Caenorhabditis elegans: one gene and its partners. The protein of the gene in region 1 interacts with the protein of each later gene in a pairwise test. Each region holds a gene or a part of one and is shown in the gene's direction. Other genes may lie near its edges. The genes, in order: gst-23, atrn-1, dim-1 and zig-12.

Region 1 (5,857 bases):
TGTGCCGAAAGATTTCACGCTTCTAAAATTTACTTGTAGTTTTTAATAAACTTATTTGTAAGAAAATCAGAATGTTTTCCGAACTGCTGTTTGAAAAATTTTGTTCTAATGACGTCCCACAAGAATGATTTCTCAGCACAGCGTTTTGGCAGAAAAGGAAAGTTTGAGGTTCGTACATCGATGTCTGCGCCAGTATTGGTAGGCCTACCTTTGAAGAAACTCATGCCTGTCTCCGGCCGTCTGCAAAAAATTCCATAAACAAGTTAGCAATACAAAACCCAGAAGATGTCGGGTGCTGCGGAACCTAGAAAATGTCGGGTATTGCCTAACCCAAGTAATGTCGGGCCTAGCTGAACCCATGAAGTGCCGGGCGCTGGTGAGCCCAGAAATAATTTCAAATTTTCAGACAATTTGGCGGCAAGCAGGTCTATGTGTACCTGAGCCTGCCTACTAGTTTGCCTGTCGGCCTATCGAAAATTCCAAACTTGTTTGAATTAAAATTTTGAAGCCCGAGTATTGTAAAAAAAAGTAACCATATTGGGGAAACTTTTAAAAAGTTAAATAAGTACGATACTTTTGCTCTCACGACAAACACATCAGCAGGTTGACTCATTAGGCTTTTTTGTATTTTCATCTTGATTCTGGTCTTCCAAGCGTTTTACCAATCCTACATTATTACTCATTTAGACTTTTTGAACCAATCTAAGTCCCGAGCACATTACCTAAATGATTGTTAATCCTATTGCATATCTGCGTAGGGCTCGAAAACAAATACAATTAGTATTCCTTCACACTTTTTCTGATTCAGATACAATCTGCTTTATAAATTATTAACACAATCTGAATATTCACAATTTCAGAAAGAAATTCAGACGGACTATGTATATCCACTGGTCTCACCATTACCTTCCAAAATTGTTTGGAATTTTGTCATTCGTGTGTAATCCAATTTTCATTTGCTTGATAGCCACCGAAAAGAAGGCTTCGATCGGGAAGTATCGATATCTTTTGATAGGGTTTGCAATTTTTGATATGGCTTACTCAACTGTAGAGCTAATCGTTCCCGTAGCAATTCATGGTACTGGGGCAGCTTTTGTGATTTACCTAGCTGACGGACCATTTTTTGGGGTGAGTTTGAAAGCTCTACACACCAAATGATTGAACTTCAGACTGGGAAGCTTGGCCAACTAGCTGTCTCAATTCGATGTGGGTGTATTTCTCTTTCATATGGAATCCTTGTCATTCACTTTATCTATCGGTATCTTGTGCTATTTAAGTGAGTTTTATTTTTATTTTTCACGTAAATCCGAAAATTTAAAAATTATAGCACCCGAATAATCGATCGACTTCTCCGGCCGTCCGGGCTATTTGGTCTCTTTGTATTTTTTGTTTTTCACGGAATAGCTTGGAGTTCTGTCTGCGAGATGTGTCTCTATGGAGATCAAGAAGTGTTCGACTACATCTATGACGCTTTTCAAAAAGATTACCATGTGGATTCACATGATTTATCCATGCTAATGGCATTGTTTTTCGTGAGGCTCGAAAAGAGCAAAGAACCAACACTAACCCCTTAAAATTTTAGGATGCAAGTCCCGAGATCAAAAGAAGAAGCTGGATTGGAATTCTGCTGCTGACTGGAATTTCGATATATGCAATTTCTCTATACGTTATTCTTGGATGGAAGATTATGAAAAAGCTGGCGGATAATCCAGGGGTTTCTGCAACGACTCAGAAATTGCATAGACAGTTATTCAAAGCCCTTGCAGTTCAGGTATACATGTTTTTAAAGAGTTCAGAAAAAAATTGTTTAACTAAACATTTTCAGACTTTCATCCCGATCTGCATCAGCTTCTCCCCTTGCATGATGGCCTGGTACGGTCCTGTAATCGGATTGGATCTCGGAATGTGGAACAATTATTTGGGCGTCATTGCACTGTCAGCGTTCCCTGTTCTAGATCCACTTGCTATCATTTTCCTCCTACCCAACTACCGGAACAAGCTTTTTCGCACTGTGAAAATGCCAATCAAATACTTTTATTCTGGAACATCGACTGTCCGACCCAACGTGGATAATTCAGCTCAAGTTTATTGAAAGTTTGAGGAAAAGTGTTGTCCAAGTTGTTATAAAATTTCTTATTTTTTTCCATAAATATTTTTCGCAACGTTCTTTTTTAATCAATGTGAAAGAGTTTTATTTGCATTTCTCGAAATACATGTTTGCTTTATAGATTTTTTCAATAGCCTGCGGACATTTTCAACGTGTCCCTCTTTTCTTACCAAGTTTGCAGACAGCTTACACTTTCTTCGTTTTTTTTTGGTTTTTAAAAACAAATTATTCTCAATTTAGTACTGTAACTTTTTGAACAACTTAGCACTTTTATAACAATGTCGTTAAGTTTGAGTTGGGATGATAGTTCTAGAAAATTATTTTGTCAAGTTTGGAGAATTCTTGTCGATGGGATTATTTTTGATCAATTACAGGAAAAAACCGTATAGAAATTTAAAATCAACACATAAACCTTACTAATTTACAGTTCACAATCGCGTCACACCCCTAACCCGATTATATTTTCGGTTTTTATTGCCGAAAATACAACAACACATGTATGAATTCGTATAGTTGCCCTCTATTATAATATTTTTGCATTTATGTTTTCCCAAATTCTCAAAAGTTTTATTTTTTCAAATTTACCGGAATCATAAAATTTACGTTTTTCTAATTTGGTTTTTCTAATTTATAGACCACTTCGATGACACTCAAGCTCACATACTTTGACATTCGTGGGCTCGCGGAGCCCATTCGGCTCTTGCTCAATGACCAGGAAATCCCATTTGAAGATAACCGTATCAGCCGAGAAGAGTGGGCCGAAATGAAGTCAACCATGGTGATTCATAATTTTTGAAACTATAAAAGTAGAATTTTCCAGATTTTCGCTCAATTGCCGTGTCTTCATATCGGAACTGAAACGATTGTCCAGTCAGCAGCGATTCTTCGTCATCTTGGACGGATTTATGGTGAGCAATCAGAAAATTTACAGTTTTGAAATAAAAAATTCATTCGAATTGATGAAAAAGAAAAAGCCTGTCAAATTGCTTATTAATTGTTTTGATAAATGTTTTGTTTTGAAAAAATCGTTTTTTTTGAGTGAAAATTTTTTTGATTTTCTCAAAATAAAAATTTTCAAAAAAACTTGCAGAATGTATACATCCGAAATCGTATAAAAATTATCTAAAAGTAGTCTTTTGGAGCAATTCTAAACGTCGTCAAATTAGTCAATAAATTGTTTTAAACTTTTGGCTTTATAGTTAGCTCTTCTAGGCTGACTTAATGCGTTTTTGATTACAATTTTTTTTTGATCTCAAAATATCAGTTGGAGAAAATAACGAAAAATATATTAACAATTGTTTTCCCGGCTGTTGAGTTAACATTTTGCAAATCTTATTTAAAATTCAATACAAAAAGAAAAAAAAACAACATCTAAAATTTCTCAGGACTCAATGGCTCCACTGAATCAGAGACCTCATTCATCGATATGTTCTCCGAAGGGCTCCGCGATCTACGCACCAAATATTTCACAATGATCAAGACAGACTACGAAGATGGCAAAGAAGCATACATAACTGAAACTCTTCCCGGGGAGCTACTACGAATTGAGAAGTTGTTCTGCACATTTAACAACGGCGAAAACTTTGTGTCCGGGGACAAGCTGAGCTATGCAGATTATGCTCTATTCGAGCTTCTCGATATTCACCTCATCCTCACACCAACTGCTCTAAATGGCACCCCAGCACTGAAAAGATTTCATGGACGATTTGCAGAGCGGCCCAATATGAGACTGTATTTGAATAAACGGGCCGAACTAAATCCATTCGTCAGTGGAAATGGGAAACAATAAAACTTTCGGATTTTTTTGTGTTAAATTAATTTTGCAATACTAATAAAACTTGTTTCAAATAACTATTGTTTCAAAAAGCAAAACTCAACTGTGAAACCATTTTCAAAAAATGAGCTATCAAAATTTCGAGTACTTAAAAATTAAATTTTTTTAAAGTTTTTTGAATTAACTTATCAAAGTCTATAGGTTTCACGATAACCTACTGCATATAAAACATTGGGTCCTGACACGAAAAACCAATGTAGTAGGAGTAAAACGTTGTTTGAAAATTAATACAGGTGCTGTTTATGAATCAGACCCTGGAGAATACAGATAACACCCACCTCAAGTCTGCTCAATGACGCTATCACACATGGAGGACTTTTTCGACCCTTTTCAGTGTGTTCCTTTGCAAAAACGGAGTTACCATAGCAGACAAATATTCAAGTCACAAAACACATAGTGCCCCAACCCCAAAGGAGTATACTATTTTACGAGAACTCGGCATTTATAAGAAAAACAAGAGGGGAAAACACTTCTACATCTCTTCATCGAGAAGATCCCATTATTTTTCAATACAACTATGATATATATGAACTGGTACCATCAAAATGTTCCCAAAATTTTGGGAGCACTAAGCTTCCTGGTGAACCCAATATTCATATATTTGGTAGTGACCAAAACTAAAACTCAAGTGGGGAGCTACAAGAATCTTTTGATAATGTTCTCGGTCTTTGACATTCTGTATTCAATATCCGAGATTTTAACTCCATTGGTAATTTACCGTAGGTGTGAATATATTTTAATGAATTTGTCTAGGGTGTACAAGGCAACAAGCATGGATTTGTGGTTTTTATATCAGACGGCTTGTTCTTTGAATATCCAGAACTTGGTCAGCACGCAATGTCGAATCGGTGTGGGTTCATTTCCATCAGTTATGCCTTATTGATCATCCATTTTGTCTATCGGTACATGGCCTTGTTTTAGTGAGTCAACTATTTAGGCCTGAAAATATTTGAACAGTGGCTATTTCAGCCCGCACAAGCTTCATCTGTTCTTCCGGCCGATTGGTATACTATTTTTAACATTGCTCATGTTGTTTCACGCTGGCTCTTGGACTATGGTGAAAGCTTCCAGAAAATAAAATAATTAAATGTAATTGCTTCAGATCTGCCAGAATTGCCTTGCGGCCGACGACGAAGTTAGGAAAATAGTGCGCTCGTCGTTCATAGATCAGTACGGAGAAGAGTCCAATGGAGTTCCAATGTTGGCAGCTCTCTATTGGGTATGTCTAAAACTAGATTAAACTCAGAAATTTAAATTTCCTTTTTAGGGTGTCCGTCCAGGTATCCAATTTCGCAGCTGGCTTGGAATCATTCTTCTTACTATTATTTCATGGTACTCAATGGCGGTTTATTTTGTTCTTGGGTATAAAGTAAGTTTGCGAAGTCTAAGCCTCAGCATAAGCTTAAGCCTGAGATTAAGCATAAGTAAAGCCCAAAGTAAAAAAAGTATTTCAGATAATTCACAAAATTCGGTGCATGACTATTAATCGAACGTTGAGTGCAACTAGTTTACGACTTCAGAGGCAGCTTTTTGTGACTTTGGTTGTACAGGTAATTCTTGTAAGATTTACATGTTTCTGTGCTTAATTCGGTTATATTATTGATCAGACCAAAATTTAAAAAAACGAAAAACAAACCTGATAAAACATATAATGTGCTCTAAACACAGACTGATCAATCTCCTTTGAGTGATTAGGTTACTATCGTCTTTGTCTTGTCAAGGGATTTACCCCTATTTTTACATGTATAAGTTGAGTTTTGAAAAACAGAAACAAACCAATATTTCTTCTAATACTTTGGTGACCCCAAAAATTCTTAAATTGATTTTTGTGATAGCATAGTCTAAACAAAGGTTGAAACATAAAAAACTAAAGTAAATGAAAGCTTCAGGTAAATAGATCAACAATGGGATATTCA
Region 2 (10,060 bases), on another chromosome or scaffold:
AATTTTGAAATTTAAATGTAGGATTCCCGAGTTTTTCAAAATTTGGTGTGTTAGGCGGGATTCGAAATGTCTATAAGACTGATTTATTCCAAAAAATATAGTTAATCATTTTTGGCTATGGAGAGAAGCAGCCTGTGAAAACAGGAAAAAATTGTATTTTTTTTTTGTAAACAACCACCTATATTTTCAAAATTTTAAAACATAAAACACAATTCGAATTTCAAAAGAAAAGTTTCAAAAAATATATATGCTTTAAAAAAATGAAAATATCTTAGCCACGGTTTTAGCCACACAATTTCCAAAGTTAACTGTAAAAAAATTATTTTTGTCAATTTTACAAGTGAATCATTTCTATTCAAACATTGTAAATGTTCCAACGTGCAGCAATTTCCTTAACTTTACAAAAAAAAACCAGCAAAAAAGTTGACTGCATTATGTTTCATATTGTCTCCAATTGATCTATTTTGTAAGTTCATATCTCTGTAAGTCTTGATCAAAGTATCTGATCTTTAACTACGTTATATAATAGACACTGTCATTGAAATATGCCAAATTTAAGATATTCCATATCAATTGACTGTAAAAATTGCAAAATATCCTATAAAAAGTAAAAGACAAAAAAGGTAAAAAAAAAAGTGAAACAATTTTTGAACTTCCTGGTGCGTCATTTAAAAGGAAATTTCGAATGATAAGAAATTGAGATATTTCTTCTCATTCCTTCTCCCCCGATCAATGTTCTATCACTTCATATTCCATCCAAATTTACAAATGCAATTGCGGAAAGAAAGTAGAAAAGTAGGAACTTTGAGAGAGATGAATAACCTTGAGAACTAGATTACATGCGTTGCAAAACGTAAGATCATTGAGAAACTAAGAATTAACGCTGATTTTTCTGTTCTTTCTGTTCCGTTTCCACCCAAAAAAAGCCGCCTGTTTGCTTACTATGCTCATAGTTTGAATCGAAAAACGACTGCCAAAACTTGATTTCCGCTCTTTCGAACATTTTTTGAACAGACTATTTGCAGAGGCATTGTGCAGAAATAGCGGAAGCTATTTCAGTTTGTGTTAAGTTTGGAGGGACCTCGAAATGTTTCCTTGTAGCAATACTGTTTTGGTCAGTGCCAGCAGCTTTTTTTTTGGAATGCCTTACAATAATTTTGCATTTTAACAGGGCGTTTCTCGATTAGGTATCAACTGATAAAATTCAATACAACATCATTTTCACATTAATATTTAGCTATTGATTTTAAAAACGCCCTCAATAAAGAATTTTTTGGGTGATAGTGGTGGTTTTTACTTTGTAAGAATAGTGATAATACAAACATTTTTCGGTCTGCTAATTTCAGATTTTTTAGTCTATAGATGAAATACTTTTTACGAAACGAAAAAATAAATAAAACAAAATTGGATTGTTTTTTAAAAATGCTCGGAAACATTACACCAGTATCTTTTTTCAAAACATGGGTTTTAAAAAAGGTTATTATTTTTACTTCTTTCCAGTTTTTTTTTGAATGCCTAATTCATTCTCAAAATCACAAAAAAAATTACCTGCCTACTTCTTTAAAATTATAATTTCGAACACTCCATTTACATATAAATTGACAATGTTTCTTGGTCACTTTCCAAAATATTTTTCGATATTTTTATTTTATTTCTAATGCCTTGTTTTCATTGGTTGATAATAACTATAATATACCATGTTTTTTCTAGAAAAAAAATCACAGTTACAAAACAGGACGCAAAATGTGAGCGAAAAGTATTGTCAGATTTCAAACACTTTAGTATTAAATTATTTTTCACTCCAATTTTTTCCCAATGTGAAAATTATAAGTTTGTGATACTACTGAAATACTGACACGTAGAAAAAAACAAGCCGTTACTTATTTCAGTGACTGATTAAAATTATAGTTGCTAACCATAAATCTTTTTTGATTTTAATCATTTTTGGGGACTCAGTTGCTCTCCACTATTTTCCCGGTTATTTTCAATGAATAATTTCATAAATGGTTTGAATTTATTTTCACATTGACCAAAGCTATGTACTTTGATTTAATTTAAAAAAAAAAGAAATTTACAGCTTCTTAGAATGTGACGATCAAAAACCACCCGCCTCACACCCAACATTTGTGACCTATTAAAAGCTGAAGAAACTGCGTTGGTTAAAAAAAAAGAACCGCTCGAATTAAACCAAAAGCGAAGACACACTGACTCATTTCGCGAACGTTTAAAAGCAAATTGGTGTTGTCTACCTAGTTTACCCACCTAACGTCGCTTCTCTCTGCGTTCTCTTCTTGCGGCACACTCCTTCTCCGCATCTCTTCGCGCAAGCGTACTATCGATCGATTCATTCTGTTCGCAGTGCCTCTTTTCATTCATTATTGTCGTCATCATCATCGCCTTTTTCTTCCTCTACGACGACGTGTCTTCTTCCAAATTAGTCATGCTTATAGTGTTGTTCCTTTTTCTCTACTGCGACAATTTTTGCTTATTTTCGACAAGTTTATTCTAATGAAACCTTTTTTACAGACCGATGTGCACGTGATGATTTCAGCAAGGGAAGTATTCCCATGCTTTATATTTCGAGTTTTCCTCCTTTTTCAAGTATTCTCCCGAGTTCACACACTAACAAATCATGCAAATTTTGAATTCGAAAAGGTAGGTTGAAACTTTAAAAAAAATGCGGAGTAGTTAATTTTCTTGACTCAAAATTGACAAAAAAGACTGAATTTCATCGTGAATCTATTTGAAATTCCTCAAAAACAATTATCAACTTCTCCGTGTTGCAATGACCAGAAATGTTTTTGTTTCTATTTCGCATACTTTTGCAGGGTTTATAACCATTTTTTGTGAATTTCGGTACATTTTTAATCAATATTTACACAAAAGTAATCAAATATGTATGTAAATGTATCGCCTAAAAACGTACTTCATGCACTAAATAAACATCTGAAAAGTGTCCAACAAAATATAAATTACGGCCGCAGCTTCAGTTAACTTCAAAAATGATAAAAAATTTTTTGAAAAAATCAAGAAAAATCATTACAAAATTTGGTCTTTTTGAGCCATTTTCTGACTTTGAAAGAGCAATTGGAAAAATTTGAAGCCTTTCAAAATTCGAAAAACTAGTGGTGTTGATTTTGTTTATTATCAAAAAAATGTTGATAACATTTTCCAAAATATTCCCTCAGGGACTTTTAGCGATAACATCTCAAAGCTTAACAAATTCCCACAACCAAAAATTTTCAGTCATTATCATCATGCGATAAACCATGTTACAACGGCGTCTGCTTGAACAAGGCCTGTGTTTGTTCGAAAGGATGGTACGGTTCACAGTGCGATCACTGTTTTGGGCGGATACGGTGAGCAACATTTAAGCTTTATTTCAAACAAAAAACGAAAGAAAAAAAAACGTTGAATTTCTTTAGAATATCTGACAACGCGAGCTACATTTCGGATGGACCTCTGGATTATAGCCCTTCAGCAAAATGCACATGGCTCATTGAACCGGAAAATGTATGTGTTGATGATAGATTGATGTTCTATAACATTTAAATTTTGCAGAGCGCTACTCCACTCAAAATTCGGATAAACAGCTTTTTCACCGAGTGCGGCTGGGATTATTTGTATATTTACGATGGTGATAGTGTTTATGGAAAGCAGCTTGCCGCACTATGGTTGGTTTTGAAATTTTAAAATTTTATGTGAAAATGAAATATTTCAGCGGAGAACAACCATCACAAGAGTTCACTGCGGCTTCTGGTAAAGCACTGGTGCACTTTTTCAGTGACTTAGCCATTAATTTAAACGGGTTCAATGTTTCATACGAGTCAAATCGGTGAGTTTTCGACATATTTATTGAAGTTGAGATTGTTGAAGTTTTTAAACGTGAATTTGCAGCTGTGCGTATAACTGTTCAAACCATGGAAGCTGCCTGAATGGAAAGTGTGATTGCGAAGATGGATACAAAGGTCTCAACTGTGAGTATCAAGTCTGCCAACTCAGCGGAAAATCCACGGAAAGTCCGTGTCATGAAGGTCAATGTGTTGATGGAAGATGTGAATGTCTCTCGGCAAGGGTTCATGGAGAAACCTGTCAAATGCCAGTGTCTTCATCGGTGTGGGACCTGATTCACCCGACTAACAATGCACCAACCGGAAAAGCTTCCCACGCGTCAATCGCTATCGATGATGTTGTTTGGAGCATCGGTGGAGAGTTTTTCGATGGAAGCTCTGATCCGAATAACATTGACGTGTACAACGTGACAAGTCGGATTTGGAGTAAGGTGGAGGTGTCCGGAGATATGCCGAAACCTCGCTTTGATCACACAGTTGTCAAGTATAAGGTTTGTACATTCTATTTCGAGACTTCTCTACCAATTTTTTTGAATTCAGAACAAGCTGTACATGTTCGGAGGAGTTACAAAAACCCAAGTCCGTCACCAAACGACACAAGCCGCAACAAACGAGCTTTGGATCTTTGACATGGGCTCTAAAAAATGGGCTCAACAGATTCACAAGAATGAGACAATTATTGCTGCGCCATTCGCAGTTGCAGGTCACTCAGCTCATGTGATTAGATCCGAGATGTTTGTGATATTTGGCTATAACCCACTGTTTGGCTTTATGCATCACGTGCAGATTTATAATTTTGGTAAGGAAACAAAAAAAGAAGTCGGAAAAAACAAAAAAAATGCTTTCAGAAACCGAAGAATGGACGGTGGCCAACACAAGCGATCATGTTTACGGAAGGTTTAAACATTCCGCAGTGGAATACACAACACCAACAGTAAGTTTTTTAGAGTCCTACTAATTTGAGTTAATTAACTGAGTTTGGTTTTAAAAAATGCGATGTCGTAGTGACGTCATTGAAGGTATTTAAAAACAGGGTTAGATGTTTTTTTTTTGATTTTTAACAATTGTGAACCCCCAATATTTTTGCCAAAACTGACAGCCGATACCTCGCTAGTGCTACACATATTTTAACAAATTTTGATGACAGCATAATGTCGGCTGCTTGTTGAATTATTACTAGACGTAAGACAGTTTTACGAGGATAACTTAGATTTTGTACATAATTCAAAACTTTTAGTAAAACAATTCCAATACCATTCGGAAAATCATTTCATTTCAGGGAGCCACTGCAATTCTGGTTTATGGTGGTAGCATGTGGAACAACACCATCACCGACAGCTTGATGCAATTTGACACATCTACCAAGAAATGGTCGAATCTTCCACAGTCTGGAGTTCAACTATATCTTCATGCTGCTGCATACCTTAATGGCTTGATGGTAGTCGTTGGAGGTCGAGGATCGAATGTGACGGCGGGAAGTAAAAGCGAATGCTTTTCAAATATGGTGCAATCCTATGACGTTGGTGAGTCAATTGAGTGATGCAATTTTTAAGCCGTCTACTTTTAATTTTTCAGCTTGTAAGCAATGGTCCAACATGTCAACTGCTCCAGTGGATTTGAAAAGATTTGGCCATTCTGTTCATGTTATCGGCCAGAAGCTTTATGCTCTTGGTGGTTTCAACGGAAAAATGAAGAGCGACGTTTGGACATTGAGTCCAGGTACTTTTAACTTAAAGCAACTCAAGTGTTCAAGTTTATTATTTTAGCAAAATGCTCATCAGCTACAAGACCTGATGAATGTCGTCTAATCACCGATGGCACAAAATGCGTTTTCGTCGACAGTTCCTGCGTTCCATTTGACCCAACAGTCTCCTACAAATCATCGTTCGCCTCAATGATTAAATCATCGACACCTAAATCTTTTGATGAATGCACAAATACACCATTAAGGTAAAAATTGAAAAAAAAAACATCGAATTTCAACTTGCAAGCTTTACATTTTCAGACTCGCTCTGAAAACGTGTGAAGAGCAAACGGATTGTGTCTCTTGCGCCTCTAAATCCGGATGCGGATGGTGCTCCTCAGGAGAGCAATGTCTTCCAAATGAGCAAGAGTGTGTGGATGGACCGGTGAGAAAAATTTTCGGTTGACTAGTAAATTATGCGATCGTTTCAGGGCATGCTAACATCCTGGGAGAAGTGCCCGCAAAGAAATAGTGTTGCAACAATGCGTCCATGCAATATGGAGAACAACTGTGGTAGCTGTAGAATCTCACCACACTGCACTTGGTACCCAATTGATAAAGCATCGCCTTGTGTGAGCAAGGAGGATTTGAGTATGTTTTTTGTATGATATACACGAGGAATAAACTAGAGAACTGAGAGCTTACAAAATGAGGCCAAGCACAATTTTATGAAAACTTTATATATACTTTGATAAAAACCGGAGAAACATTTTTGAGAAAAGTTTGACAGAACGAACATGTTTCTATGTATTATATAGTGCATGAAATAATCACCTGCCAGAAACAAGTGAGTTTTACACTCAAAATAAAAAAAACTGCAAGGCGTGTACTGCAGAAAACCTAATATTTAGGCCCCGCCTTTTTTCTTGTCCACTCACGGAGAAAAGGCAAAAATCGGGATCCCAACCAATATCAGGCCGCCGACATGTCACGGGTTCCGCGCGCCGCTGCGTTTAACTCGCTGTGGGCGTGGCGAGCTGTCTCCGCCCGCTGCGAGTTAAACATAGCGGCGTGCGGAACCCGTGAGATGTCGGCGGCCTGATATTGGTTGGGTTCAGATTTTTGCCTTCCACTCCCGTGAGTGGACGAGAAAAAGTACACGCCACACAATGTTTTTATTTTGAGTTTTTTTTTTTGAATTAACTAAAAAACACTGTTTAATTTGGTATTTTTCAATAAATAGGACAGTTATTGATTTGAAAAAAAACCGCCCAACACTTGGAATCACAAACTTTTAACAATTCAATTTTATTTTCAGTTGCCGTCGTCTACGAATATGAGACCAAGTCAGTTCTTGCTGATCGCAACAAGTTTCTCTCACCTTCGCATTTCCCATCTTTCTTCCGTAACGCTACCGAATGCCCAATGCCTTGTGCTCAGCGGAACAACTGCAGCGATTGCACCGATCTTGAGCAGTGCATGTGGTGTCCGAGCACGAATAGATGCATCAACTTGGAAGCATACACGCTGTCATTCGCTTATGGACAATGCCACTCGTGGGTTACATCTGGCTCAGGAAGTGTTATCAATCGAGTTTGTCAAGCTGGTGAGTAACCTCTTTGAAGCGTTTGCATTCCGATTTTTATTCGGCGTTTCAGAGTCAGTTGTTTGCGAAGAGCACAAGACTTGCGGAGAATGCCAGAGAGATCCAGGATGTGGATGGCTTGCAGACGACTCCAAGACTGGTCTCGGACTTTGCATCCGTGGTACATCAACTGGCCCGTTAGAGCCAAAACCAGAAAACAGTACCTGGTATTTTATAGACTGCCCTGGTAAGTTTTGATAACATTGGTTAATTGATTTCATTAAAACCCAACTTTTCAGCGTGCCAATGCAACGGACACTCTACGTGCTTCACTTCTGTTGGTTCCTTCCCTCCGGTCACAATTGAAAAATGCCAAAGTTGTCAAAACCACACCACCGGTGCTCACTGTGAGCGATGTGCTCCAGGTTTTTACGGCGACGCCAGAAACGGAGGAGTTTGTTCACGTAAGAACATTGAATCAAAATTTCAACAATGATCAATTATAATTATTATTTCTAGCATGCGATTGCCATCATCAAGCTGATATGTGTGACCCAGTGTCTGGCCAATGCTTCTGCAAAACTAAAGGAGTCACTGGAGACCGCTGTGATAAATGTGAAGCGAAATATGTGGGCAATCCGAGAAATGGAACACCATGTTTCTGTAAGTTGTTTTATGGTTTAATGAAATTCAAGTTCAAATTTCAGATGAGCTAGCCGTAGACTTCATATTCACCTTCAAGTTGAGAAGCGACGATAAGGATAATCACACGAGTGAAATTTACCTATACAGTGTTCCATATAAGGTACATCTTAACTTGTCATGTTTATTTGATAAATTATAATTTTGTTCTTTTCAGAAAGACACTGACGTCACATTCCAAATCAGCTGTGAATCTCCAAAGGGTAACGCACTTGTTGCTTTGAACATGACCTCGTCTTATGTGAACGGGCTCGCGGATAAGTCTCAAGCCATGATGGTGGATACAATTTGTGACTCGAAAGGATTCCGACGTGTCTATGTGGCATCAGATAAGGGATATCCATTTGGTCCAGATTCGAACACTACCTTTTTCGTAAGTTAATTGCAATACCATTAAGAAGTTTACACATTTATGTTGTTCAGGTTCGAGTATACAACTTCAACACGCCAGTTCAAATTGTTGTCAGTTTTGCACAATCACCGCCGATCAACTGGGTCCTGTTTTTCGTGATATTTGCAGCGTAAGCTTTGAAAACTATTTTAAATGGTTTCCTAGAAAACGAAATTCCAGATGCTTCATTGTCCTTCTAGTCGTTGCCGGTCTGCTGTGGATGATCAAAGTTAGGATAGAAGCTTATCGCAGGAATCAGCGGCGGATAGATGAAATTGAGCATGTAAGCTTTTACAAAAAAATGAAAACTGAAAAAAATAGAAGTTTTTTTTGGAACCCATTTCTCAACTATGTTCAAGTTAGTAATAATATTATCAAAATATTAAAAGTATCACATCAAATTTGAATCCAGCCAATCCCGAGTAAGAATCCCTCTCAAGTTCGCATGCCGAAAATTGGCTCGAATTGAGAGATGAAAAATTCGGGAGATGCTGGAATCAAATAATACTCCGTCCACTTTTGCCGGACAACGCAAAAATGAAAAGAGTGGGTAATACCTAGGGGCCGACAACCCACGGCTTCCGCGTCTCGGTATATAGTTATAAATATCATTAGCATGCCCCGCCCATTCAGTTGGTGTGTATTTAGAAGGGCGTGGCATGCTAGCGTTACTTATAACAAGACGCGGAAGCCGTGGGTTGTCGGCCGCCAGGTATCACCCACTCTTTTCAACTTTTGCGTTGTCCGGCAAAAGTAGATGGTGTCTTATTTGATTCCAGCATCTCCCGAATTTTTCATCTCTCGATTCGAGCCAATTTTTAGCATGCGACATTGGGAGGAAATCTTTCGCGGGGTTGTCTGGATTCAAATTTGACGTGACACGTTTAATATTTTTTTGTAATATGTCAACAAGATTTTGAACTGTTTTTACTTAACTTTTTCATATTCCAGATGGCATCCCGTCCTTTTGCATCGACAAAAATGGAGCTCAGCATGCTAAGCCAATTCTCATCGGCCGGAGGTCCAACACCTCTATCCATCGAACCGTGTAGCAACTACCGTGCCGGAGTCTTCACCCTGGCCGTACGCCTCCCCACCGGAGGCAAAGCAGTAACACCTAGTGGAACATCTGGATTAGCAGTTGCTTCATCGTTGTGCCTTCTCACTCCCCAACAGGTCGGTGTGCTCCAAGCACAAGACAACGGGGAGAGCAATAGTGGGCGGAAAAGTAATTTCCGAAATTTGTTAAGGTTGACGATACGACAACGTCCCAACAATAATGATTAAGTGTTTCAAATTTCTTATTTTTAAGTTTTTGTTTATGAATCCACTCACTTTCCATGCCCTAACCTCATTTTCCCTGTTTTTTTGTCATTTTCCATTTTTTCTTGTGTATTTTTTTCTCTCATTCACTTTCAAACTGTCGATCAATCAAATACTTGCATATGAAAATTACGAGTTGTCATTTTTAACACTTTGTATTTTATAAGAAACAGATCAATAAATATTTTTCCTAATGCTCTATCTTTTTGGAAATTGAGATAAAGAAGTGGGATTATTTCATGGAGCTTGTATTGATTTAGCTGCGCTTTTACTTAAGTCGGAACAGTAACAAACGCAGATTTAGGGGTGGGCGGCAATTGCCGTTTGGTAAATTGATTTGTCGACAAATTCGACAAGTTGGCCAATGGGTTGCCGGTTTGCCGATTTGCCGGAAATTTTCATTTTCCGTAAAATGCCGATATGCCGTTTGCCGGATATCAGATTTCCCGAAAATGTTTAGAGGAATTTTCTATAAGACAAAAACACTTAAAACTGTGTCTTTTTGAATTTTTTCCGTTTTTCTA
Region 3 (7,045 bases), on another chromosome or scaffold:
GAAACTTCGAAGGCTAAAATAAAAATCTACAATTTTCAAACAATTTTTTAAACAACTTACTTCTTGCCAAAATCTGCGCCTTCTACTAACTCGATATCGTCATCGTCTTCGAACTCGTCCGCAAATCTTGGTAGTGAGCCGCTTTTGCTCATCTGCAAACAAAAATAATAACTAAACTATATAATTTAAATTCATATTTTGTGTAAACCGGAAAAAGGAAAGGTTTTATCACACTGAAAATGGCAATAATTGCTCCACACGATACGTGGAGGGTAATAAATGTTAAAGATTTATCAGTGGCGGTTTCGTATGCAATGTGTAACTTTTGGAATGAAAGTCATAAATTTCAAGATTCAAGAGAGAGCTGGTATAAAATTTTTTAATACAACAGGAACAATCCGTATCATTTGTGTTTGTTGATGTTATTAAACAAAGTTCCGCATTATTATGGCAAAAATTGATAAAAAATGTTTGTGCACATCAACATTAAAAAAGGTTACTAATGTTTCCACATGAAGAGTCTCTGGAAAAATGAACAAGTTGTAATTTCACCGTAAAAGTAGTTCTGGAAGAACATGTTTGAAGAAAACCAAAAATTGACAATACCAAATAACATTCTATGTATGCAGGGTTGTCTGAAATAATTATTTTATATTAATTTCAAAGGAACACTATATGATAATATCTGGAATAGGGGAAGCAATTAACATAGTCATAATAAAACATAGTTAAACAATTCCTACAAATTTAATAGTCTAATTATGTTTAAAATACTCATATTCAAACATTACAGTGATTTGAGCATTCTGCAGTGCTATAATTTTGTTTTCAATAAGCTGCAAAAATGCAGTAATTGCAACATTTGATTGTCAACAAAAAACTATTCAAAACTTTCAAATAAGTGTTACTATGATATTTAATCATTTTTGCACCATAAAAATGTTTTTTTAAGCAATTTACCCTATGGCGCTACTCCACTATTAAAATCAGTTGGTGTTTCTGGATGAATGTATTTATAACTTTTATCGGCTGCTTTTTCCGATTATGTCTTCGGCTGCACTCAGTTTGTTATTACGAGCCATCTGTGCTCAAGGTCGATAAGGTCAACTTTCTCGAAAATACGTTTCCCCTGTCCTCATTGACATCTTTCCCCCTCTCGTGTCTCCTACTTTTCACCCTTTCACCAAATATCGATCAAGTCGATTTTCAACGGGTTCTCCAGGCAGGTGGCTAGTACGTACAGTTTAGAATTGAATAGTGATGTCGTTTCGTCTCGTAGTGTTGAACTCTGGCGTTGTCTAATTCTCTTCTCCGCAACGCATCTCTAGCTTGCACGGCGACGGTCACCCACGATGCTGGGTCGCAAAAGACCTCTGGTCACCCTTCCCGTTACCGCCGATGGTGATCTAATAGTTATCGAAAAAATGAAAGTATTGGATTTTTAGGTATTGTTGCTAGCACAACTGTATTTGTCGATATTGTTGTTTTTTAATTCTCAATTGGGAGCAACAAAATTTTTTACAAAGTATACTCATGTTTCAATATCGGTTCTTGAGTGATTGGTGATAATTAAATCTCATTTAGAAATTCTGATTGAATTTTTTTCCGGTATGTGATTTTTTATTAATATCCTGAAAAATCGGCGAACTTATGTTCAAATAATATAGTTTTTAGTTTAATGTCCCGGCATACTTGTTTGTTAGTTTACGTTTACCATCCAACCTTTAAGCACCTTTTCTAAGGTTTTTCTTACCCGGCGATGGTCACCCACGATGCCGGTCACCAAAGATGCCAGGTAGCAAAGGATCCCTAGTCACCCTTCCCGTTACCGTCGACGGTAATCTCATAGTTATCGAAAAATGAAAGTATTGGATGTTTTGCATGCTGGCTACCCAACTGTACTTGTCGATATATTCTAAAAGTTGTTTTCTCATTGTAATTTGAATGCAACCGATTTTATTACGACCGATTCCAATCCTTTAAATTTTTTTGAAAACTTTTAATGTCTTGTTTTATTAGAATTAGTATTTTTATTTCATTTCAAAATAAAAGCTGTTGAACATTTTTCAACATCACTATCTAATTTTCAAATTACAAGGACCGGCAAGTAAGTTAAATTTTTTTCAAATTTTGGTTAATAGCTAAGTAGCATTAAAAGTTTTAAATCGAAAATGTTTTCAGTTGTTGATAATGTTTGATTTATCTGAAAACTTTACTTTAATGCACAGAAGTAGTGTTCCCATTTGCGAATTCAAATACTCCAAGTAGTTCGAATGTTATAGCTTATTTGTTTATCAGTTTATGTTTAATCCCAATTCATCAAACACATTTTTGTGCGTTTTTTTTTACACGGCGACGGTCGCCCACGATGTCGGTCATCCTCGATGCCGGTCACCCACAATTCCAGGTTGCAAAAGACCCCTAGTCACCCTTCCCGTTACCGCCGACAATGATCTCATAGTTATCGAAAAGAAAGAAAATATCGGATTTTAGGCCTAACACCACATGTGTACACGCCGATATCATTTAGTTTTTTTGTGGTCAGTTTTATCACGAAGGTGCTTCAAAAATTGATCAATTCATAATTATGATAACCTTCAATTTATGACTTTTATGAAATTAGTTGGTTTTGATTACAGAGATGAGAAAATGGTTTTTCAATGAAAGTTCTCACTTAACAATATACATTCTAAAACTATGCCAATTGTTCAAACCAAAACAAAATTGCAAGTCAGTTAAACTTGACTTTAATTATTGACAACAATTAGGTAGATTTCAAAAAGCCAAATCAAATTATTGTTTCATTATTTCAATGGTTAAAAAAACTCGCCTTAAAAGTTTTGTTTTGTCTGAAAACCACAAAGTCATCTGTTCCCGTTTACCTACAATACTTACTTACTTACTAAACTTTTCATTCACTTTTTGTTTATTTAACTTTTTGTGTATCAGTTTTTGTTTACTTTCCGTCCATCAAGCTTTTTTTTCCTCACTCATCCTTTATTTCAATTCTCGTCCTTTTTTCTATAATTAACAACACAAATCTTAATTTTTTCAGTTTAACTCCATAAGAATGGCATCGTTAGCACCATTCTTTAAAATTTCCGACTCCATCTTGGTAAGTGTCAAAACTTTTGTAAAATTTCAACGTTTCGATGCAATATTTGCTATTCTAATAACTTGGTGTTTTCACTTAACACAAGTCTTTACACTTTTAATAAGAACCGATAATCACAGTGAGATGTGCAGTGTTACCACTTATTGAGTAGTATCCTTGTGCAAACACCCCCACGACATATTGCGTACATTCCCGATTCAGAAATTTCTGGCTTATAAGGAAGCAATAACTCTAATTAATTTTAAAAAAAAAGAATAAAACGCTAAATATTATATATACTCAGGCTGATGAAAGTTTCGACGATCTGGAAATCAATAATCATTTTAAATGCACTAGCAAAGGTAAGTAAAGTGTTTTTGTCAATTATCTTATAATTTTTCAACTTCAGATCTAAATGAATACCCAAGAACTTCAACCCCATTGCCTGGAGAGATAACATCAATTTACAGCTTACCCAGATCATATAGTAGGTGTTAATGGATACGATTTGTATTTTTTTAAAGACAAAATTCAAATATGATAAAATTAACTTTTCAGATAATCAAAACCTTTGTACAAGAAGTAAACCAACAACATTCATTTCACAAAATCGTATGTTCGATTACGTTAAAAAATGTTTCTATTATTCATTTTTTCAGAACAAAAAGGAATGACGGAAAAACCGAAGCATTCTGAATATTTTTTAAGACTGATGAAAACACGCCAAGAAATGCAGAAAAAATTAACTGCGAAAAATGGTTCAAACAAAAGTGTGCAGCAATATTTGAGAAAGTTACCGCCCAGTACGAGCAAAGAAGTGACGATAATACCAGTGAAAATGAAACCTGATGACAATTCAGTTTATATTTCTAAAGAATTAAGTGACAGGACTGACACAAAACTACCGAAAGTTTCAACAAAAGAGGTAGAAAAATTTGGAGAGCAGTCAGATGATGAAGAGAGGCATGAGAGGTCTCATATCGCATCGGATTTTAATCAGAAGACCCCGCAATCAACGCATGCAACGAGTAACCATAGGAAGAGAATTTTCATAGGGAGGACAGGTGCTAAGCAACAGCATGTTAGTAAAAAAGCCACAGAGAGTGAATTACCTTATAATATCGACGTGTCAACCTCCAACACGACAAATGCAACCGAGGCTCTCAAACTGTTAAAAAGGCCACTTCTGTTACCAGTGAGTTTTAAAACTTACAAATTTAACTAACAGTTAGTTTAGTGACATAAAAATTAATAAAAGTTAGTGAAAAAGTAAAACATGACCGACTTTCTATGAATTTCAAACATAATATTTCCAACTAAAACCAAGAAGAACCAATAAACTGTAAAATAAAATAAAATGTAAAGTTTTTACTAAACATAACGATTTAACAAAAAAATAAAAATAAAACTTCAGTTGTTATATGTTTTCAAGATAATTTTTGAAAGAGTTCTTATTGTTGGAAAATTATTAGTAACTTTCCTTATAGAGAACATTTCATATTTAAAAACCAATAAAACATTCAAATCGTCACTGAAACATAAATTGGCAAAAAAGTAGGCAATTTCTATTTGAATTAACACCCATCAGCCAGTTTTTTTTTCAAATTTTTTCACCGTGTTTTACACAGCTTTGCATGAAATTTTTAAAGCTAAAATGTATAATCTTGTATTTTCTCAACAGTTTCTCTTAAACAGATCATGTTTCATATCAAAGTTTTACACAGCAAAAACTGCAAAAAATGAAAACATGAAAACGTACAAAAGTGTTCAAAACTATTCCAAAATATTAATTTCCCAAAAAATAATGGCTTGTAATTTTCAGAGTAAGGATCCACGATCGTCAAAAATGCCCCGTTTAGATCTCAATCAACATCAATTCCGCTGCAAACAGTACATAGTCCATTCACAATTTACATGTACTCAAATTGAGAAAACATTTAAGTGCAGAGTTGGAACATCGACAGAGAGTGAAGACCTTGATGATTACTATTTTGATGGTGAGTACTTATTTGTTCTTGTGTCAGTTATCAATAAGCGAAGAAATAAACAAAAACAGTATTGGAAATTAAATCGAATGGTCTGCACACTGTGTCAACCACAGCGCCTCCATGATCTTAGAAACAAACAAATGAGCAAGAGATTACCGTGCGCTCTTTTCCCGACAAACATAGAAATATAGTACTTGATAGAAAAGAAATAGGGAAAAGAGGAGGGCAAAAAGCAACAAGTTGTGAAGAATAGTCAACAATATTGGTCGGGAGGGAGGTTTCTGCTTGTACGTATATATTTATTGAAGTGACGCCGACTGACGACGCAGGATTTGCTTTCATACAATTTTTTTTGGGGGGAAACACGATAAAAATGTCCCGTCGTTTTTATGCATCAATGCATCATTCTTCGGAAGTTACTATTATACATACAATCACTTTCTTAGGGTTTTTTTCTTTATTTTCCAGTGAATGCTCAAATTGTATATTTTCTAGTATGATTTTAATAGAAGAAAGTTTTCATTGAAAATAAGACAAATAGATAGGTCAAATAATATATAATAAATTGAGTGGTATAGCATTCTATTTTTTCGAATCAAAAACTCAAATCTTAAACGAATAATTTTTTCCATCCAAACTGAGCTACGATTTTGACACTTTCTGAATATTTTCAAAAATTTACAAGCCTAGTCGTATATTTTGAAATTAAATAATTAAACCTTGAGAGGTTGGCAATTTTAACATTTCCGAATTTTGACATTGCCGAACATCTCTGCAATGAATGTTTGGGGGTTCTATGTATTCTTGTCGTAACTATTTGTTTTCTTTGCACTCGTTCGCTTTGACCAGACCACTTTTCTTTTATGCTATGAACTCATTACGCAGAGATCTCGCACAACAATTTGTTACTTGCACTGTTCATCTTGTCCTTTTTACTCTTTTTTCCTTCCGTTTACTTTTTCATATTGCACACAATGAGACTGTGCTGATGGCTGCTTCAAAATTTCTGGGACTGTGCTTCACATTCTTGTGTACTCTTTCGCTCACCACCAGTTTTTTGCACTGTTCTCTAGAGTGAAAAAGGAAAATTGAACAGTTACATTGTGTTCGGTTTCAGTCAATTTTTTTGTTGTACAATTAGCGTCGCTAGAAAAAGTGTTTTTTTTGCTACTCTACTGTTCTTGTCTCATGCTATTTTGTAGAGTTTAAATTTATTTTTAAAAAATGAATGTCAATTAAAATGTGAGAACTGGTAGAATCAAATATATACGTTTCATTTCTCGCGTAAAAAATTAAGAAAGTAGTCTTCTAACCTTCCATCTAGGCTATAAATCTCATTTATCTCTAGTTCCACTTGGCCACCAACTCCTCCGCAAGCAAATGATGATGATAGGGACCATTCGTAAAAGCCGCAGAAGCCCGAACAGTCAACTCGAACAGTTGTGGGGTCTTAGCGTGTGTGTTAGCAGGGAAATTTCTTTTTCCAAAGCGTATGAGGAGGTCCCGCTCGGTCGGTTAAATGAGCAAATATCTTCGCGACATATGCCAACGCGATTCGTATTACGTTTATCTGCTCGTCTAACACGAAGGCGAAATTGATGAAACGTGGGTGGGAAATGGAAACTAAGGAGAACTTCGGGGGGACGTGTGAAGCCGATAATGATGAGATCATACACTATTTGTCGTCTGCATATTGATCTATGTAGGACATGTACTCAACGATTTTATCTATTTCTCGGAACTTTTTTTTTTTAATTTTGAAGTGTTTTTGCGAAATTGTTTGTCTCTGCCGATTATTTTGAGAACAAATCGGCGTAGTTGTAAGAAAGATATAAATCAACCTGGTAAGAATTCTACCAATAACTAAAACTATTTAACTTCATCATGTACATTTCATTTGCCAAACAAAATTCTTTAAGCTATTTGCTCAATTTTCTTTTTTCATATCCCGCTTTTTATGATA
Region 4 (7,045 bases), on another chromosome or scaffold:
ATGAAAACCATCCGGATCCCCAGGGTTTTGAATTACAAGTTCAGAGAAAATTGTTGTAGACCGTTTTGTTATTCCCCCTGTGAAAAATGTGCTTTGCACTTTACCAACAATCACTCATCAATAACCTAATCACTGGCATCGAACGTGACAAAGTCTCTCCGCAGGAATGTATTTTCAATCGAGACTGCACACCACTATTATCACAAAACGAATAGCTGCTGACTAGAGAAACGGATATCAGTTCCGAAAAATATCTCATCAATTTATGATAATTGATGGACTTTCGCAAAAATGTTTGGTCTATCAAGTTCATGTGGCGGAGGTAGAGGTGTTTTTTGTGTAACTAAGTAATAAGATCTTGTGTTGAAAATACTTACTCTGATAATTGTCCAGTGTATGGTTGTGGAAAATTAGGTGTGGAAAACAAGATACCATCTTGAAAAGCAACTGAGGTCCGGAAAAAAATGATGAAAAATAAAGGAATCAAATTTAGTTTTGTATACATTTGTGTTGCCAGCCAACCACGAACAGTTAAAAAATGACAGTACTGATAGGAAAACCGCACATCGTGTTGATTGAAAATGTTTCTATGCTCACAAACTTTTAACGATTTTTCTCTTTGTTACATTGTTATATTTACTGATGTTTTTTTTTGAATAAGAATTATATTTTTAATTGAATTGTTTAAATTGAATTTTTTGCTCACATTGAAGATAACAAACAATACTTAAATTTCGAAGTTTATTTGAAATTCCATCATTAATTTTTATGATTTTCTGCTTCAGATCTCAAATTCGATGTAGTTTAACGTTGAAACAAAAAATGAAGGATGAGAAAGTGTAAGCCATTAGAAATCCAGATGTCTCAGACGAGTGCGTCATCCAATTATTTTCCAATGGTACCTTTGAAGTGTTGAAGATATGGGAAAAATGAGATCGGCTTCTACCCAGTGACTGGAAGCAACTTAAACAAAGTGCAATCTACAAAATTTCGATCTGAAATTGAAGAAAGAAAAATAAAGCAAACCACAACAAAGTGATTCTTTTCTCTATCTTTTGTATCTCTTGCTCCTACAAAATATTTTTCATGCGAAAATATTTGAATTACACACTTGAAAAATAATTTGAGAAAGGTATTCCCTGACGTACCGAAGTTTCAAATTACACACACTCTCGGCATCTTTATACAATATCACTCTTACTCTTTGAACTCTCTGAAACATAATATTTGATCTTTTGATACATGATTTTCAGATTGAATGTGGAGTTCCACTGCTGAATTACAATATGGAAAACTTACAAGGTGTTGGATAGAAAAAAGTAAGAATGAAAACAGTTTGGTTCATATAAGTTTATTATAAAATAATTTGTTTTTAACTGAAAAATTGTCAGCTTATGTTTTTACCATTTTTGGGATTCATCTCATTTTGAGACCTAGAAAGGCAATATATTTTAATTTTTAACGCGACTGGGGCATTTAAGTGTCCTATATCGTTTTCCACATTGCTCTATTCGGCCAAGTCTGGTAGCTTATTCTCTGGTTTCTTTCTAAATAGGAAATTATGCAGCTTATTGTAAGATGAGGCCAATCAACTAAATTGTTCTTTGACCCAATGCTAAACCTACATAGTTGAATTGCAATGTGGTCATAAAGAACCGCGAAGAATTGACATTATGAACGTACAATGCAGATATCATCAATGAAACCATGCACAATGCGCACGCCGCGATTTGCAAAAATGTGCACATCATGATCGTCCTATTGTGACAGGTCTATAAATCCATTGCTTTCGAGTTGCTCAGTTTCAAAGTGGCATTTTCATTTAACAACTTTTGAAATCCTTAATACTCATACAACAACCAGCGACGTCATTTCCATCCGTTCCCAAATTGCTCATTGATTCCGATTTCAAAATACTCTCAAATATCCTTTGTGAAGCGTGTCTCGTCAACTTTGCCTTCGCCCTGCAGCTCTTCATTGAGAACTTTGTAAAAATTTTGGGATCTTCAACGTCGACGAGAAATGAAGAGTTAGGTGGGAAGTGCCATCCCATCCACCTTTCTCCTCCTCCGCAAAATCTGTGGGCAGCTCCGGGGGGCTCCCGGGACATTCATCTTTCCCATCTTTTTTCGTCGTTTCGTTCTCCGACTAGCGACCAGGAGGCGGAGAAAGAGCTTAGCAGCAGAAGAAGTAGAAATTACAACACCTTCGTGAAACAGAGAAAAAGATAAAGGGAAAATGGGACTCTAACAGCGACCTCTTGGCACTTTTGTCAGTTGGAAACTACAAGCGAGACATCATTTTTCTCCTCTTCATATTTTTTGTTCTCCTCTCAAATTTGTTTTTTTTAAATTTATTCTTGAGTGCTGATCTCAATGCACAAAAAACATGACTAAAATCAACTGTTATATGTACAAAAAACCAGTGATTCAATTTTCGAAGCATTTTTCAACCTTCAACCATTGGTCTTTTTGCCTTTTTCTTTTTTTTCTCAGCATTATAAAGTGTTTTCCCTCAAAATACTGTTGACACATCTTGTCTAGATCTTCTCCAACATTCCCCTACTTGTGCTTGTTCATTGAGAACATAAAACATTGTTTGCTTAGTTCTCCCACCCAAAAGCCACTACGAACTACCGTTCAAGAAGTCTTTCGTCTCCTATTTTCCTGTGAACTCAATGGATAAATGATGGTAAAAACACATTGGCAGATCATTTTTCATTCGCTCTTGGCGGCGCTCTTACCTGATCAGAAAACACGCCCCTCTTTTCTTTTAGTGTGTAAAACTTTAGGTTACCGAGATTCCGTATATTCATGGCTTCGTATTCAATCATAAAACTACAGATTTTAATTTTTTCAGATATGGCACCACCATCAATTTACGGAGAACCAAAAATTAGATCAGAGAACGGGTCGGTGTTCCTTGAGGTACGAATTTGCTTTTCCTTTTGAAAATTGCTAAGTTTTCTTCCAGGTCATCGTCACTGGAGCTGATGTTTCTAAGATTCAGTGGTTTTTCGGACCAGACGAGCTTGAGGAGAACGAGTTCCTGAAGTTCTCAAACAGTGACGAAGGAGGCAACCGCACCAAGTTTGTTGCCGAAATCAAGGTCAGTTTGAGAGCAACTGTTTGCCAAAGCATCTCGTATAAATCACATAAAACGACTCACGAGTCATTTTATGGTCCCATTGCTGCGATGCGCTCTGCAACTGTTGTCTGTATGTGTTTTGATCTGCGTTTAATTGGTTTTTGATGGACTTACCGTAGATTTTGGGCAAAAGTGCGGCAAAAGCAGAATTAGCTGTCGGTCGGGAGGTGAAAAGCAAAACATAACAACGGTTAAGCATTTGATCAAAAGGAAACTCTAAGTACATTCATCATTACAAAATACTTTTTACTTTACTATATTCTTTATTTTTTTCGTATCTCACATTAAATATACATCAATAACGTGAACTGTAATTTTGAAAATTCAGTAAACATTAAAAAAAGCCGTGCAGTTTGAACTTCACATTAGGAACTATAATTGTAAAAGTTACTAATGATAGTAGTAGTTGAAAAACAAACCACATAAGCTACATTACTGGTAAAACGGAAAAGCAACTGAAAAACTGTCCAACGGTCCAAAATGCCGCAGACTGAAAAAAAAAACTGATGTCCGCCGGTGGTCTGTCTCCATGTCAGCCAATAAGCCGATTGTCGACCGCCCCGGTCGCAAATTTCGTTTTTCTAAGCTTAAAAAAAAACTCCGAACACAAAAACGATTTTATCAGCTGCCATTGGGCCGCTTCTGAGCAATCCCGCTTTACCTGTGATAAAAAATAATCGGAATTATGAATTTTAACTGTTAACAAAACACCTTTTTGCTTCTTTAAATCATCATTTTATAGGACTTTGATAAACCACTTGCCGGAGAATACAAAGCCGTCTTTGCCAACGCCGATGGAGAGAACAGCTCTAACTTCACAGTCGCAGCAGGAAGTGAGCTCATTATCAAAAACACTAAAAGCTTACACATACAATTTCAGACGCCCCAGACTTCCATGACAAGCCACATATTGTTCAAAGAGATAACGGAAATGTGATTGTGATTAAGGTCCGCGCAAAGTCCCACCTTGAGATGAAGGCCGAATGGTTCAAGGTATGTCTGTCACCTTACTTTGAATCTTAGGGGAAAAAATTTCCCTGAATTCTTATTCGGTATTTTTCTTGGCATTGCTAAATTCATTTTGGTTGAACCAGAATAGAGCTTCTCGAAGATGGATCGACTGACTGACGTGTCTTTTTTCTTTTGTCTTCTTTCTTCCACCGAAGAAAAAAATGTAGTTGTCCTAATTTCCACATTTATGTTAGTCGAAGTGAACCTCTCCGGCTTTCTCAAGGGGATTCAAAATAGAAAGGCAGAGATGGGTAATGTAAAGAAGTGTGGAAATAAGACAAAAGTTGGGAGGCCTCCTCGTCCGCGCCTTTGGGTTGTGCCGAGACAGATACTTGAGGCTCATGGAGCAGATAGAGCGAAGTTTTGAGTAGTGAACAAAAAAGAGAAATGGCGCAAAAAACTAAAAGCAAAAAGGTTCAATAAACATTAAAAGAATTCACTTGTTGTCTGGTTCAAAATGTAAAATGAAAAATGAAAAATGAACATTTCAATGGGCATGCTTGGAACCAAGTTTGAGTTTTTTTGGAATGCTTTGATAAATAAAATTAACAAACTTGTTTTGGAAAAAATTTTCTGAACGACCGTCTAGTATAAATCATTTTTAAATTAACAGAAAAAAAGTAAATTTCATATTTTTCACTAATTCATTCTTCCAGGATGAAAAACCAGTGAAATTCACTGACCGAGTTAAGGCTGTTGTAAAGAAGGACGATAAGGACAAAGACGGATTCCAATTCCTACTCGAAATCACCGGACCACAAAAAGACGATGAAGCAAAATACAAGTGCGTTGTCAAGAACTCCGAAGGACAAAACCAACAAGCGTTGAACTTGGTTTTCGATTAATTTTATAAATTTTCCCTTGGTTTTTAATTGTCATACAATTCAATTCATAAAGCCTCAAATCAATTTTCATGTTAATCGTTGCTTCTGATTTTCGATTTTGGTAGTTGCACTTTCCGCTTTTTTTTCTTCTGTAACTTTTAACGTTTTGTAGTATTTGTCTTCTCAAAGTAATTTGAACTTTGTGTCCCATGCACATGAATTGGTATCAGCCAAAATAAAAAAGTTTCTTGACACATTGAACATGAGAAGATATACTTGCAAGTACAGAAATCAATATATATATATACAGTGCTGGCCAAAAAGATATCCACTTTCAGTTTTTTGACGATTTCGATATTTTTTCCAATGGGCATAACTTCAAAACTAGGAAAGGTACCAAAAAATTTTCAACTGGTAAAATGTAGCTCGTGATCAGGCCTATGTATTTTTACATGTTGCAATTATTCATCCATCACATGGCAAGTAATAAAGCGGCGGGCATCTCGTGAGTCCGTTTTTGACGATGATTACTAAAACGACTGTAACTCAAGAAACATATTTTTAATGAAAGGTTTGAGAAAGTAACAAAATGTTTATTTAATTTTTCATTGTTTGAACATATCAACTTTGTCCTAAAACCTCCATTTAAAAAAATGTGTGCGCTGAAACTAGTGTCTCATTAGACACTGTTTAGAGGCTTTGTTCAAAAATCAGGTTTCTTGGATTGAAAATCTTTTTCCGACAATTTTTGTGAAGAACTGATGTTGTTATTATATTTGAACTACATATTAACCAATAAACAGAATTCAGAAAAAAAAATCTACTATTTTTGAGACATGAGCTCGAGATTACTCTACACTTCTCTTCTTTAAACTCTCTTGTCTTTTTCAATGGAGGTTTCAGGACGAAGTTAGTATGTTCAAACAATAAAAAATTATATAAACATCGTGTTACTTTCTAAAAACCTTCCATTAAAAATATGTTTCTCGAGTTACAGTCGTTTTAGTAATCATCATCAAAAGCGGACTCACGAGATGTCGGCCGCTTTATCACTTGCCATGTTTTGGGTGAATAATTTAATCATGTAAAAATACATAGGCCTGATCACGAGCTACATTTTACCAGTTGAAACTTTTTTTGATAGCTTTCCTAGTTTTGGAGTTATGCTCAATGGAAAAAATATCGAAATCATCAAAAAACAGAAAGTGGATATCTTTTTGGCCAGCACTGTATATACGTGTCTTTGCTGTAATTCAGTGATGCAGATAGTAGATAGTGCTTTATCATTTTAGTTTTTCAACAATTTTTGTAAACTCTAGTGTTTATCTAACAAAATAAAACCATAGAACAAAATAATATTGAAAATCATCCAACGGGCAAAAGTTTACCTAGTCCAATTTAGACTACTTCAGTTGAAACAACATTTTTGCTATCACTTTGAGAATGCCGCTTTTGAATCTGCAATCTACGTGTGCAAATTTTAATATCTAATTTTATATCAAGTTGAAAACAATCTAATAAGACATAACCCCGAAAATCAAAAAAAAATTGGTAACCGGCTGCCTGTTTTGAATTGAAAATTATTTGATTTTACGGCGAACGGTTCAACATAGATTACACAGTAAAAAATAATTTCAAAATATATATAATTTACTTTAGTAAGACATTATTGTTTTGCGGTTAAATGACCTGTTAAACATTTTAAGGTAAAAAGAGTGTTATATTTTTCCCTCAGCATGCCAAACTTATGTAACAATTTGAAGAGTTATCTTAATAAATTGAAATTTTTCAAAAATTGTAAATTTATTTACAAAAAAAATAATTTTTCTTAATTTTGAACCAAAGCCCTCACTGCTATTTCAAACTTCGCTGATATATGCGTTAACCCACAACCCAAAAAAAGAAAACCGACTTCTTGACCTCAAACAACTATTCCGAATTCAACTGCAATATTGAGAGGCAAAAGAAAACAACAAGTCCCAAAACCAGTTTCAGTAGCAATGTTACCCATGGGAAAAGTAAGCGACCGGAAGGAATAAAAAGGAAAAAGGAGTGTGAAGGAG

What was found.
Region 2: the proteins of gst-23 (region 1) and atrn-1 interact in a two-hybrid assay, tested with the Caenorhabditis elegans proteins (one large-scale study listed by BioGRID).
Region 3: the proteins of gst-23 (region 1) and dim-1 interact in a two-hybrid assay, tested with the Caenorhabditis elegans proteins (one large-scale study listed by BioGRID).
Region 4: the proteins of gst-23 (region 1) and zig-12 interact in a two-hybrid assay, tested with the Caenorhabditis elegans proteins (one large-scale study listed by BioGRID).

What each region holds. Positions count from the first base shown.
Region 1 is NC_003283.11:3,240,545-3,246,401, forward strand, and holds gst-23 (Glutathione S-transferase), read left to right. Parts: upstream 1-2,739; 5' UTR 2,740-2,750; coding exon 2,751-2,885; intron 2,886-2,927; coding exon 2,928-3,015; intron 3,016-3,492; coding exon 3,493-3,896; 3' UTR 3,897-3,958; downstream 3,959-5,857. Other genes in the region: srj-11 (Serpentine Receptor, class J), read left to right, coding at 880-1,128, 1,170-1,276, 1,328-1,532, 1,583-1,771, 1,826-2,092; srj-7 (Serpentine Receptor, class J), read left to right, coding at 4,459-4,650, 4,695-4,861, 4,911-4,998, 5,044-5,160, 5,209-5,310, 5,396-5,491.
Region 2 is NC_003284.9:14,709,053-14,719,112, forward strand, and holds atrn-1 (CUB domain-containing protein), read left to right. Parts: upstream 1-2,526; 5' UTR 2,527-2,541; coding exon 2,542-2,655; intron 2,656-3,246; coding exon 3,247-3,359; intron 3,360-3,425; coding exon 3,426-3,513; intron 3,514-3,561; coding exon 3,562-3,674; intron 3,675-3,721; coding exon 3,722-3,835; intron 3,836-3,897; coding exon 3,898-4,342; intron 4,343-4,391; coding exon 4,392-4,650; intron 4,651-4,699; coding exon 4,700-4,785; intron 4,786-5,130; coding exon 5,131-5,374; intron 5,375-5,426; coding exon 5,427-5,570; intron 5,571-5,617; coding exon 5,618-5,801; intron 5,802-5,856; coding exon 5,857-5,980; intron 5,981-6,026; coding exon 6,027-6,186; intron 6,187-6,853; coding exon 6,854-7,141; intron 7,142-7,193; coding exon 7,194-7,367; intron 7,368-7,419; coding exon 7,420-7,584; intron 7,585-7,639; coding exon 7,640-7,783; intron 7,784-7,827; coding exon 7,828-7,925; intron 7,926-7,979; coding exon 7,980-8,195; intron 8,196-8,245; and 11 more.
Region 3 is NC_003284.9:8,054,238-8,061,282, reverse strand, and holds the start of dim-1 (Disorganized muscle protein 1), read left to right. Parts: upstream 1-3,062; 5' UTR 3,063-3,070; coding exon 3,071-3,115; intron 3,116-3,398; coding exon 3,399-3,456; intron 3,457-3,503; coding exon 3,504-3,581; intron 3,582-3,652; coding exon 3,653-3,706; intron 3,707-3,753; coding exon 3,754-4,289; intron 4,290-4,916; coding exon 4,917-5,091; intron 5,092-6,574; exon of another isoform or gene 6,575-6,710; intron 6,711-7,045. Other genes in the region: C18A11.3 (DUF4309 domain-containing protein), read right to left, coding at 1-13, 61-152.
Region 4 is NC_003284.9:8,761,048-8,768,092, forward strand, and holds zig-12 (Ig-like domain-containing protein), read left to right. Parts: upstream 1-2,859; 5' UTR 2,860-2,861; coding exon 2,862-2,927; intron 2,928-2,973; coding exon 2,974-3,108; intron 3,109-3,889; coding exon 3,890-3,980; intron 3,981-4,027; coding exon 4,028-4,140; intron 4,141-4,285; exon of another isoform or gene 4,286-4,431; intron 4,432-4,814; coding exon 4,815-5,003; 3' UTR 5,004-5,233; downstream 5,234-7,045. Other genes in the region: M02D8.5 (CUB_2 domain-containing protein), read right to left, coding at 378-505.